Coturnix japonica: one gene and its partners. The protein of the gene in region 3 interacts with the protein of the main gene of each other region in a pairwise test. Links are inferred from orthologs where the notes say so. Each region holds a gene or a part of one and is shown on either strand. Other genes may lie near its edges.

What was found.
Region 1: the proteins of L3MBTL2 (region 3) and TBC1D9B interact in binary tests that used the Homo sapiens proteins (3 or more experiments, as listed by UniProt). The two-hybrid records come from large-scale screens. The link is inferred for Coturnix japonica from reciprocal best matches to the Homo sapiens genes L3MBTL2 and TBC1D9B.
Region 2: the proteins of L3MBTL2 (region 3) and MEAF6 interact in binary tests that used the Homo sapiens proteins (3 or more experiments, as listed by UniProt). The two-hybrid records come from large-scale screens. The link is inferred for Coturnix japonica from reciprocal best matches to the Homo sapiens genes L3MBTL2 and MEAF6.

What each region holds. Positions count from the first base shown.
Region 1 is NC_029528.1:4,630,860-4,634,507, reverse strand, and holds part of TBC1D9B (TBC1 domain family member 9B), read left to right. Parts: intron 1-673; coding exon 674-803; intron 804-1,035; coding exon 1,036-1,134; intron 1,135-1,619; coding exon 1,620-1,688; intron 1,689-2,379; coding exon 2,380-2,620; intron 2,621-2,986; coding exon 2,987-3,052; intron 3,053-3,203; coding exon 3,204-3,275; intron 3,276-3,648. UniProt on the Homo sapiens protein: May act as a GTPase-activating protein for Rab family protein(s).
Region 2 is NC_029538.1:3,342,657-3,346,404, reverse strand, and holds the start of MEAF6 (chromatin modification-related protein MEAF6), read right to left. Parts: upstream 2,396-3,748; 5' UTR 2,346-2,395; coding exon 2,250-2,345; intron 2,126-2,249; coding exon 2,010-2,125; intron 1,550-2,009; coding exon 1,462-1,549; intron 1,355-1,461; coding exon 1,309-1,354; intron 887-1,308; coding exon 697-886; intron 454-696; coding exon of another isoform or gene 429-453; exon of another isoform or gene 1-428.
Region 3 is NC_029516.1:45,388,697-45,392,344, reverse strand, and holds part of L3MBTL2 (lethal(3)malignant brain tumor-like protein 2), read left to right. Parts: intron 1-123; coding exon 124-241; intron 242-1,519; coding exon 1,520-1,654; intron 1,655-2,263; coding exon 2,264-2,352; intron 2,353-3,006; coding exon 3,007-3,238; intron 3,239-3,539; coding exon 3,540-3,619; intron 3,620-3,648. UniProt on the Homo sapiens protein: Putative Polycomb group (PcG) protein. PcG proteins maintain the transcriptionally repressive state of genes, probably via a modification of chromatin, rendering it heritably changed in its expressibility.

The DNA of each region.
Region 1 (3,648 bases), on a different chromosome or scaffold from region 3:
ATAAATGAATGGTGATAGTACCCCTTTTAGTCATCATTCCTTTCAGTCTAACGAGAGAGACTCTTCTGTTGTTCCCCTGAATTCCATTACGTAGCAGGTCACAGATACCAGACTAGGATGAAACTTGAGCACTGGAGAGGATTGCTGTTGATTTCTGCAGCAGCTGAAACAAATTTTTGGCTCAAGTATGGAGGAATCCAGAGTTGTTTGCTTTGTGGCATACTACATTCCTGTTTCTCAGTTTGAATTTGAACTCCATGAGGTTACTTACCCGAAATACACAGAAGAATTCTAATCCATTATTAAGAACAAGTCCTGGCAGGAATAGCCTTTTAGTAACGTAAAGCCTTTTCAAGCAGATATTTCCCAATTATAGTAAATAAAACATTTTCTTGCTTCAAATGTGAATCTGTCCTTTGTTTTGCACGATCTTCAGGTACCTCTGGGAGCTTTTAGAAAGAACAGATATCCCAAAAGTGGGATGAAAATCACCTCTACGTGGGAGATATTGAGGATAGTGTTGTAGGTTTGCTGGGAATTTTTTTTCTACGTGTTTAGATTAATCATACAAATAAGGGAAGGAGTTTTGTGTTTAGGATATTACTGCTTTTCCTTCCTTGACGTTAATCCAGGAGTCTTGCATTTGTTCTATGTTGTTTTTTTTTCTCCACAGGTATTTGGACAACGTAGTTAACAGGCAGAGTGTCTCACCTCCTATTCCACACCTGCATGCCTTATTGACAAGTGGGGATGACCCACCACTTGAAATTGACATCTTTGACCTCATCAGAACATCCTATGAGGTCAGGTTTTGGCTTAGTTTTTACCCAATTGATTTTTTGAATTACATTTTGGGACAGGGGTTAATAGAGAGAAGGGTATTTTTTTTCACCTTCTCGATGCTGGTCAAAGTATTCTGGGGTTGTTGGATGGTCTTTGGTGTGACAGTGCACTTTGTTAAAATCATGTGATTAAACATGGGGTAATTCATTCTTCAGGATGTGGTGCTGACCCAGCCTGTTTCTTTTCTCATAGAAATTTAGCAATTTGAAGGCAGATGACATTGAACAAATGCGTTTTAAACAAAGGCTGAAGGTGATCCAGTCTCTGGAGGACACGGCCAAGAAGAGTGTGGTATGTGATGCCTGGATTAAATGAGTTACAAAATGGCATTTAGAAAGCATGCTAGCATGTCTGGGAGTTTTACAGAAGGGTTCGTGACTAAAAAGGAGTGTCCACATCTATTGCAACTATCTCCCGTTTCCCAGGTAGAGAATTTCATCCGTTTCTTTCACTGTTGTTTTTCTATGCATCTGAATCTGAAGATAAAAACAACAGGAAGGGACAGCTCAGGGTTCTGTGGGCTGCAGAAACAGGAAGCTGTAGCAGTAGTTTTTTACTTACTGCTCAAATGTCAGCAGTTTCTGCTTGACTTGAAGCTGTCTTCCTGACCTGTAATCCATAGCAATGGGAAGTATTGGAGCAGTTATGTTTTCTCTCCTCCCCTTTCTCATACCTTCTTGCAAATCTTTTCTTAGCTTCTATGCTCACAGATTTCAGTGAGTCATGTTTAATTTGGGTAGCTTTGAAAGAAATCACTCTGTTTGCCCTCTAACTAGGTCCGGGCTGTGTCTAGTGACATTGGTTTCTCTATTGAAGAACTAGAAGAGCTGTATGTAGTGTTCAAGGTAAGGAGCAAATAAGGGATTCTGTTATATATGTGGTGCCAGTGAGATTGGCTCTATTACTGAACAGTTTTGTTGTTTTTTTTTTTTGTAAAGATGGTCAGGCCTCATCACAGTGTTTGAATTGTGCTCATTCAGAGAGAGGGTTTGTAGTCAATGGTAGAAATGACATGTAGTACTTAGAACATGGGGCTAAGACTGACTTGAACCTCAGTTTTCATTTTCTAGTTTGCCACAACCTTGCTCTGTAATTGTAACACAATTACTCAAGTGCTTTGTCTTTATTTGTCATTGGAAGTGTTGTTAAATACACCCAAGTGCATTTCCCAAAGTCACTCAAGCTCAATTACGCTGTGCCTGCTTGCATGCAAGCTCAATTTCATGGTGCTATGGACTCAGGGAGGCCTAGTTCTAATATCTGCGTGCATAAAGCCTGAGTTTCATTTTACTCAAATAAAAAGGAATCTTTTTTTGTATTTTTCACTTATTGTTTGTTTTTAGTGAAATCTGTGTCACTTCCTCCATTTTGTACTCATTTGTAGTGAAGTAATGCTCATCATAATGGGCAAGATAAACTGTGTGTCCTGGAATGTCCCTTCTCACTTGGTGCTGTTTTTGATCTGTATGAAAGGCTCCGATCTCATGGCTTGTTTAGTATAATATAACCTGACTTATCAGTGCTTTCCCTCCAAAGGCAAAGTACCTGATGAGCTGCTACTGGGGAAATAATCGTGCTGCAGCTGCCCGCCGAGATCAGAGCCTGCCCTACCTGGAGCAGTATCGCATAGACATGGAGCAGTTCAAAGAGCTCTTCATCGCTTTGACCCCCTGGTCCTGTGGTGCACATACCCCTGTGCTAGCAGGGCGCTTGTTCCGGCTTCTGGATGAGAACAGGGATTCTCTCATTAACTTCAAGGAGTTTGTGACGGGGATGAGTAAGTGGTATTTCTGGAGCTGCTATATTACAGAAAATCTTTCTGTCATCTTCCAAGAAAACTAAAAGGAGATGCTGATGATTGAACTATTACGAAGGGAGGGTGGCAGCCTTACAGGATTTAGTTCTTCAGGCTGAACTAAAGATGCATTTTTGCTGCTAGACAAACTCTCATTTTGGGAAACAGTAGGTGGTAAACCTACAAATGAAACTTTGCTGTAGGTTTCTTTGTGGCTTTGTACAGTTTAGCAGTTCCTTGCTGCATAGAAACTTATGTTGTTTCGAGATTGAGTGTAGAAAGTGATTCTTAATCCTAAATGCTCTTTTTCTTATCCTTCAGTTTTTGTGTGTTTTTTTTCGCTTGCAGGTGGGATGTACCATGGTGACCTCACTGAAAAGCTCAAAGTACTTTACAAACTGCATCTGCCTCCTGGTGAGTGATCACTTCCGTGAGCTGCTTGTGAGCACGGTGTGTTCCGACACACAACTGAAAAGAGATGTATCATAAGTTTTGCTAACAAAATGGGTAATGCTGTTGTTCAGTTACCTTAGAGATCTTAACATTTCTTTCTCTGTAAGCACAGCTCTGAATCCAGAGGAAACAGAGTCTGCTTTGGAGGCCACAAGTTATTTCACAGAGGATGTTACAGCAGAAGGTAATGCAATGCTTGCTGTCCTTACCTCTCAGTTTAGACAGGAATCCTGGCACAAATCTAGTGCTGTGATTGGTGATTTTTACAAGGCATGGTCTCATGGTGGCAGAATGTTAAGGTTACTGATGTGTTTGAGTTGGCTGTCATTACTGCATGATGAGAAAGAAGTTTTGAGCTTAAACTGCTCAGCACCCATGTCATGCAGGGCACTGCACGCTCTGAAGCACAATGATACGCTGCTGAAGAGGAGCACTGTGCTTCTGCCAGTTCCTGTCTTTCACCTCAACTTGGGTTTTTCATGCAAGTCTCATTGTCTCTCTTCTTGTTTTTGTTTCCTTCTCTGTCTCTGTGTGGCCTTTTCTTCTGTTTTATCTGG
Region 2 (3,748 bases), on a different chromosome or scaffold from region 3:
TCAATAAGAACCTGACATCCAGGGAAAGCAGCACTGGAATTCAATGAATCCCAATGTGAGCTGTCAGCCCACTGTGCTGCATCTTGCCTTGAAGGTGCGCCTTAAAGGGTTGAAGTGGTCACCTAAATTCAATCACAAAGAGCTCAGGAAATCTGTTTCATGTGAATTTCAGGCCAGTTTAATAACAAGAGCTTGTGGTCTGTGTGATAGAGCAACTTGTACGTGCTATAATCAAAGGACTCTGGGACACGATAACAGGAAAGCTTTGGAGTAGAAAATGTAGTAAAGATAGTGAGTGTCGGCAGCCCCCAGAACACTCTAAGCTGTTTTCCATCCTCCTCCTCCAAAGAAAGCACTGACATTCCTATCTCCCTTAGCTCAGTAGAAACCAAAGAACAACCACAGGAAGCCGGGGCTGTCATCTTCCTCTACTGCAGGGAAGACAGCTTTATTCTGCTTGAAAAGAGAAAAGAACCCACAAAGCCTGGTCAGAAACACCTGAGCTGTGAGTACCCTGTGCTGAATATGCCTGCTGAGCTGCCTCCCTCCCTGACACAAGGAGAGCAGCAGGAGCACAGGCAGCTTCAAAGCAAGTGATAGAACCAAACGACCTGACGAGTTACTAGCTCCCTTCACATCATCAGCAAGAGCCAACCGTTCCCATTGCACTACTAGAAGGCTGTCGGTGCCACTAACCTGTGCCTGTTTTTATTCTTCCTTTTTTTGTGGCTGCTGTGATGGCTTCCAGAAGTGGAAGAAGCTGCTTTTTGGGGTTTCACCCCTTGCACTGATCCATCCAACTCCTCAGCATCCTCCTGGCTGGGTTCGTTCTCCTGATTATGGAAGTCTGGAGATGTGTCGCTTTCAGTCCCACTGCCCGGCTCACCTGGAATGGGACGAGAAGCAGAAGAGCCCAATGATTATCACCTCACTGTTCACATCCCAGGGCTGCTCCTGCAAAGTATGGGGGGGAAAAAAGGGCTACAAGAACTACAGACACCCAAATTTCTGGTGCCAAGGACTGGAAATGCAGCCCTGCTGTCAGACCCAAAGCCATGGTGACAGCAGAAGGAAAGGTCTTAAAGCTGGATGCCCACAACAGGCTGCAGCCTCCAGTAGTGAAGCTCTTATCTCCTCCCATAGCCACGTGCAGCTGATGGAGAGACACAAGACATCTAAAGGCATCACTTCAATCCTGGTTTCTCCATCCAAAGTGGACAGCAGAGAGCCCAACAAAGCAGAGATGGGGCCGAGCTGTGGGGAGAAGCTCAATTCTTCCTAATTCTGCCAAGTGAAGAGGTGACTTACGCTTCTCAATGAGCTGATCCTGGACTCCAGCTAACGCACTGACAGCCTGGAAGGATGAAATGGGTGTTAATGACAACAGGGATGCACTCATGGCTTAACAGATACCCACAGCAGCTTGGTCCCATGGGGTTGGGGGCTGGGGGCAGCTCTTACCGCAGCAGAAGTGACTGAGGATTTGCTGAAGAGCCTCTCGGCCTCTTTAAACTTGCGGTTCCTGCGGTCGTTTTTGCTGTTGGAGTTCCTGCAAAGGAGAAAAGAGGATGGAGGCGGCCCATGGAAGGGGGGGGGGGGGTTGGATGGATGGGGAGGGGGGTTTGGGGGTCCCATGGAAGGAAGGGGGGCGGGTTGGGATGGATGGGAGAGAGGCGGGGCTGAGGGTCCATGGAAAGGGGGGGGCTGGGATGGATGGGAAGGCGGGGTTTGGGGTCATGGAAGGGGGGGTTCTGGGGGTCATGGAAGGGGAGGGGTTGGGATGATGGGGAGGGGGTTTTGGAGGGTCCATGGGAAGGGGAGGGGTTGGGAGAATGGGAAGGGGGTTTGGGGGTATGGAAGCCGGGGAGGGTTGGATGGATGGAGAGGGGGATTTGGGGGTCCATGGGAAGGGGGGGGTTGGAATGTATGGGAGGGGGGTTTGGGGGTCATGGAAAGGGGGGGTGGGGGGTTGGGATGGATGGGAGGGCGGGTTTGGGGTCCACACTCACTTCTGGTTGGTGAGATAACGGTCCCAGCCGCGGATGATGTTGCCGTACATCTGCGTGTCCTCCAGGTAACTCCCTTCGAAAGCATAAATCTGCCTTTCCAGGTTGGCCAGCGTCTCCTACCGGGCACACACAGCGCGATGCATAGAAGCGGGCCTGGCCTTACCTTAAGGCCACAACCACAACCACAAGCCTCACCGCCTTCCCACTTTATCCCCCCCGTCCCCATCGCTCCCTGCTCACCGCCAGCTCCTGTTTGCGTTTCACCAGCTCGGCCAGCTCCCTTCGGGTGTCCGGGATTTGCGGGGGTCCGCCGGACTTAGCGTGCAGGGCGGCCATGGCGGCTGCGGCCTGCGGGGAGCGGGCGGGGCTGCGGGGAATGGCCGCTAGGGGGCAGCACTGAACAGCGCTCCGCCCCCCTGCTCCGCCCCGCAGCCGCTATAGGGTCGGGCTTAATAGGGACATGGGAGGGGGGTGATGGGGAGCCCTAAAAGCATCCAGGATTTGGGTCTGTGCAATAAACAACAAGGCAAACCTCGAATATAAGGTTGAACCCTTCTGCTCACTCAGCAGCTCAAAAGCAGGGCTCAGTGCTTCCCTGTGCAGTGCATGGGGGGGAAATAGGGATATAGGAAAGAAACATTACAATTAAATAGAATTACAAATTCTTTATTTAAAAACCTTGAGATTGTGTATATATATAAAGGTGATCCTTCAAGCCAAGATCTATCCTGCTTTCTATATGAAAACCTATATCAACACCCCGTATTTACACCATCAATGCTCCAGTGTGTGTATACAGGTTGTGTGTGTGGCCATAGAACAAACAGGCAACAGTGTGTTAAGCATCAACATGGAAACCATAGGGAACAGACAGCCACAAAGAGGTGAGATGTGTTTGTTTCCAGTCATTGGGGTTTTTAATTTCCTCTTCCTAAAGCTTTTCCTGTGGGGGAGAATGTTAGAAAGCAACGAGAGCTTCAGTTCTTTTTATATATATATATATATATATAAAGAAAAACTTAAATAGTGCAAACCGGGTAATAAAAACATGCCACCACGTAACGAGTACAATTACAAACAAAAAACATTAAGTTACTCATGGAGCTGATAGAAACAAAGGGCTGAGGTTTAGGAGATACATGACAGTCAGCCATAGTTTGGGTGCTGCAATGTATAGCGTGCATTGATGTGGACCTCAGCCCTCCCAAACCACATCGTTGCAACCTAAAAGCCTCAGGTTGTGTTTCCTTTTCTTCTCACTTACCTTGGAATCGACAGGCAGCTCATTGTGGTCAAATGCCCATTGCTCACAGTGCAGAGCAACCACCCAGGACACATAAAACCTTTGCAATATCCCTCTTTTAGTAGCAAACCTGGTCATTCTCCCTTCTAGAACTCTAGAATTTGGCAAACTCTACAAAACAAGACATTACAAACAATGCATGGGGTTACATTTGAAACTAACACCTCAGTTCAGTAGCGTTTTCAAAGGCTTATGACAAAAAACAGTGGATAAAAATATTCTTAAATACACTTTGCTGTGTTCTACATCGTTTCTTTATCCAGCAGAAAACCATCTTTGAACATGTTTCCAGCATCAGATCATTCACATCCAGCTGCTCTTTTGCTTGTCAGGGGGGTGAAATAAGTCAGATTTCCCACTATACAGACCTACCAAAGCCAAATATTCAGTGGAGTCCCCCACAATAAACCATAAGAACCAGTCAGCAACAGAAGGA
Region 3 (3,648 bases):
ACATTCTTCATTTTGTGGTGTGACAGCTGTGCATGGCTGTCTGGAATGTGGCTTGTCTTTCACGTTGCTGTCTCCATTGCTGAAATGCAGTACCCACCCACTCTGGCTGCCTCAATTCTTTAGGTGCCGCTCTTCGATCAGTGGGATGACGTGGTGAAAGGTATGAAAGTGGAGGTGCTGAACAATGATGCCGTGCTTCCCAGCCGAGTGTACTGGATTGCATCAGTCATCCAGACTGTAGGTAAGCCTCCAATGCAGCCCCCAACAGCCAGGCACAGTTGACTGCTGGGGGAAACTTGAGTGAGAAGACCATAGCTGGTCATGTAAAGCATCAGCTCTTTGGAGATCAGCAATTCATAGGATCATAGGATGGCCTGGGTTGAAAAGGACAACAAGGATCACTGTCACGGAGTTCTCTCTAGAGCTCACTCTGGGACAGTGGGCACAAACCCGGGGCAGCAGGAACAAAAGCCCCCCCCCCCGCCTTTTCTCTAGCGGCACTGCGGCGTGGCCCGGCCACGTGTGTTTAGGGAGAGAGGAAGGGAAGGGAGATTGCGATTAGGTCTAACAAAAAAATGAGGGAGAAAAAAAGGTGATCTGAGAACGAACGGCAGTTTAATAACCTAATAACGCTATAACAACAAGAGAGTTTCAACAAAGAGAATACCAAGTCCCCAATCTCACCGATGGAGCTGTGGAAGGCAGGAAGCTCTGACCACGTTGTCTCCTCTCAGGGAGCCGGCCAGCAACCCCGTCCCCTTCCTCACTTCCCTTCCGGTGTCCACCACATGCCCATTTGAGGCAGTTCACAAAAAAAAAACTTGTCCCCTTTACTCCCATTATGAGGCATGGTGTTCTGATGTGGAATACCAACACCAACCAAATTGCAAAACCATAACAATCACCCAGTTTCAACCCCCCTGCTATGTGCAGGGCCGCCAGCCACCAGACCAGGCTGCTCAGAGCCTCATTCATCCTGGCCCTGAAAGCCTCCAGGGATGGGGTATCCACAGCCTCCTTGGGCAACCTGTCCCAGTGCGTCACCACCCTCTGCGTGAAAAACTTCATCCTAATATCTAATCTAAACCTCCCCTGTCTGTCTTAGTTTAAAACCATTCCCCCTTGTCTTATCACTGTCCAGACTCATAAACAGTTGTTCTCCCTCCTATTTATGTGCTCCTTTCAAATACTGAAAGGCCATAATGAGGTCTCCCTGTAGCCTTAACCAAGCTAAACAATCCCAGTTCCCTCAACCTGTGTTCGTAGAAATATTGCTGAGGGATTTTGGAACAGGAAATACCACGGTATAAAGGTGGGGGGAAATCAGCATCTGATTCCTTTCCTGGTTGCTGGGCTCTTTGCAAGGACTGTTCCGCCTCTGTAATGGTTGGGGAAGCTCGGATAACCTGTGTGGAGTTCTGAATTCCTTGCTGTAGGGAATAAACCTCTAGTACACAAGAGGAAAAAGAGAAATTCTGTCTCTGATGCCTTTCTTTGGTTGTTTGTTCTGTCCTGACAGGGTACAGGGCCCTTTTGCGATATGAGGGCTTTGAGAATGATGATGGCCATGACTTCTGGTGCAATTTAGGTGCAGTGGATATTCATCCCATCGGCTGGTGTGCCGTCAACAGCAAAATCCTGGTGCCACCACAAAGTGAGTGTGGGAAAGGGAGGCCAACACGCTGGCTTGGCTGCCTCAGCTCATGCATGGTACAGTGGGATGGACACTCCTACCCACAGCTCTGCTTGTGCTGTTGGGGCTGTTTGCTCTGCATCTCCCTGTGGCTGACCCAGAGGGGTGCTGGGTGCCAAGCTGCTGTGTTATATCTGTGGACAGAGTCTAACAAATGTAGCCATTCTTCCTTCTGACCGTGACAGTAGCTAGGTTTAGCTTTTGGGGATTCATCTTGTTTCTGAGCAACACGCTGGCTCCAGTTCTTGCTCAGCTAGCACTTAGGAGAAGGATGCTACTTGAACAGGATTCTGGCCCGTGGATTTGTTTGGCATGACCTACGTGTTTCTTGTAGTACCACTTCTACATCTGGATGAGCGCAGTTGGATGTCAGCTCCGTGCGGTCCCTTCTGTGGTGGTGATTCCTCATAGCCCGTAGTGAGGGTGAGCTGCAGAGTAGTCTGTCTGAGCGCAGGGAGAGTGGTAGAGTGTGGAGGTCTTCTAGTACAGATGAATTGCATTACTGAAGAAGAAAGGTGTAGTACAGTTCTTTGGCCATAAAGATCTGCTTTTTTCCCTGTGCGTGTCTAGCTATCCATGCCAAGTACACTGACTGGAGAAGCTACCTCATGAAAAAATTGGTGGGAGCCAGGACCATCCCAGTGGACTTCCACATCAAGGTGAGACCATGATTAAGGTGGTGTTTCCTTTGTTGCTTCTCAGGAAGCTGAGATTTTTGGTTTTTTTGCTGCTTGTTCCTGGGCCATGGTTAAGAGCTCACACTGTGGAAGGTGCTGGAGGAAGGCAGATGTTGTCTGTGTGTTTCTCTCCCAGTATTCCACTCCCACCTGATGTGCAGAAGTGAGGAGCACCTTCCCTTCGAAGATCTGCATTCAGTTGTAGGCTGGTTGAGGTGTCAGAGTCTGTTTAGAGTATCCATAGTAGTTCTATAGCATTCTGGGGTCTCCAGTGAAAAAATGTCACGTGTTCTATACGTGCCTTTGAGTATTTGCAGGTAAGTACGGATAGACTGTTATCCTATCCTAAGCTGTTAGGTTTGTTATCAACAAACTGCAGGTCTCCAAAAAGTGCATGGGACTAAGGGAGATTTAAGGTGTATGCGCCCAGCCACGCTGTCATGTTGTGGGGCTGGCAGCTCCCTGTGCCTCTGATGAATTCACTCCCATTCAGTACTTCCCAGAGGTGTCTCCCTGTCAGCTTTGGGCAGTGAGAGCATCTGAGCAGAGTGTGTGTGGAGGGGAAAGCTGTTTCTTTGAGGTCTTTGGGGAAGGAAGGCACTGTGTGGTCACTTCACCTCTTCTTCTTTTTGCCAGATGGCAGAGAGCATGAAGTACCCATTCCGGCAGGGCATGCGGGTGGAGGTGGTAGATAAGAACCGTGTGTCTCAGACACGCATGGCAGTGGTGGACACTGTTATCGGGGGTCGGCTGAGACTCCTCTATGAAGATGGTGACAGCGATTATGACTTCTGGTGCCACATGTGGAGTCCCCTCATCCATCCTGTGGGCTGGTCACGGAGAGTGGGCCACAGCATGAAGAAGACAGGTAGGGATCAGGCCCCCACGTACATCCTTTGGTTTGCTATGTGCTGCCCAGCCCTACTGTTAACACCTGTCCCATCGTGGTGGAAGATCAGGCATTTGTTTTTGTGTTAGCTCTGTATCACAGCCTGTTATAGGAAGATGTAGAGGGATTGACCTGTTTCTTATCCATCTGATCTGGATTTTATTTAGTTACTGAGTTCTCAGCAGACAACAGCTAACTGATAGCCAGCCGGGATGTTTTCTTGCTGTGTTTGCTGCAGGTTTCTCACTTCTTTTGTTGCTTTTTTTCCCATTCCTTACAGAAGAGAAGCGCATTGACTTGGCAAACCACCCCACCTTCCGAAAGATTTACTGCGATGCTGTTCCCAGTCTGTTCAAGAAGGTAGGACAGGTCTCGCTTTCTGCCATGGC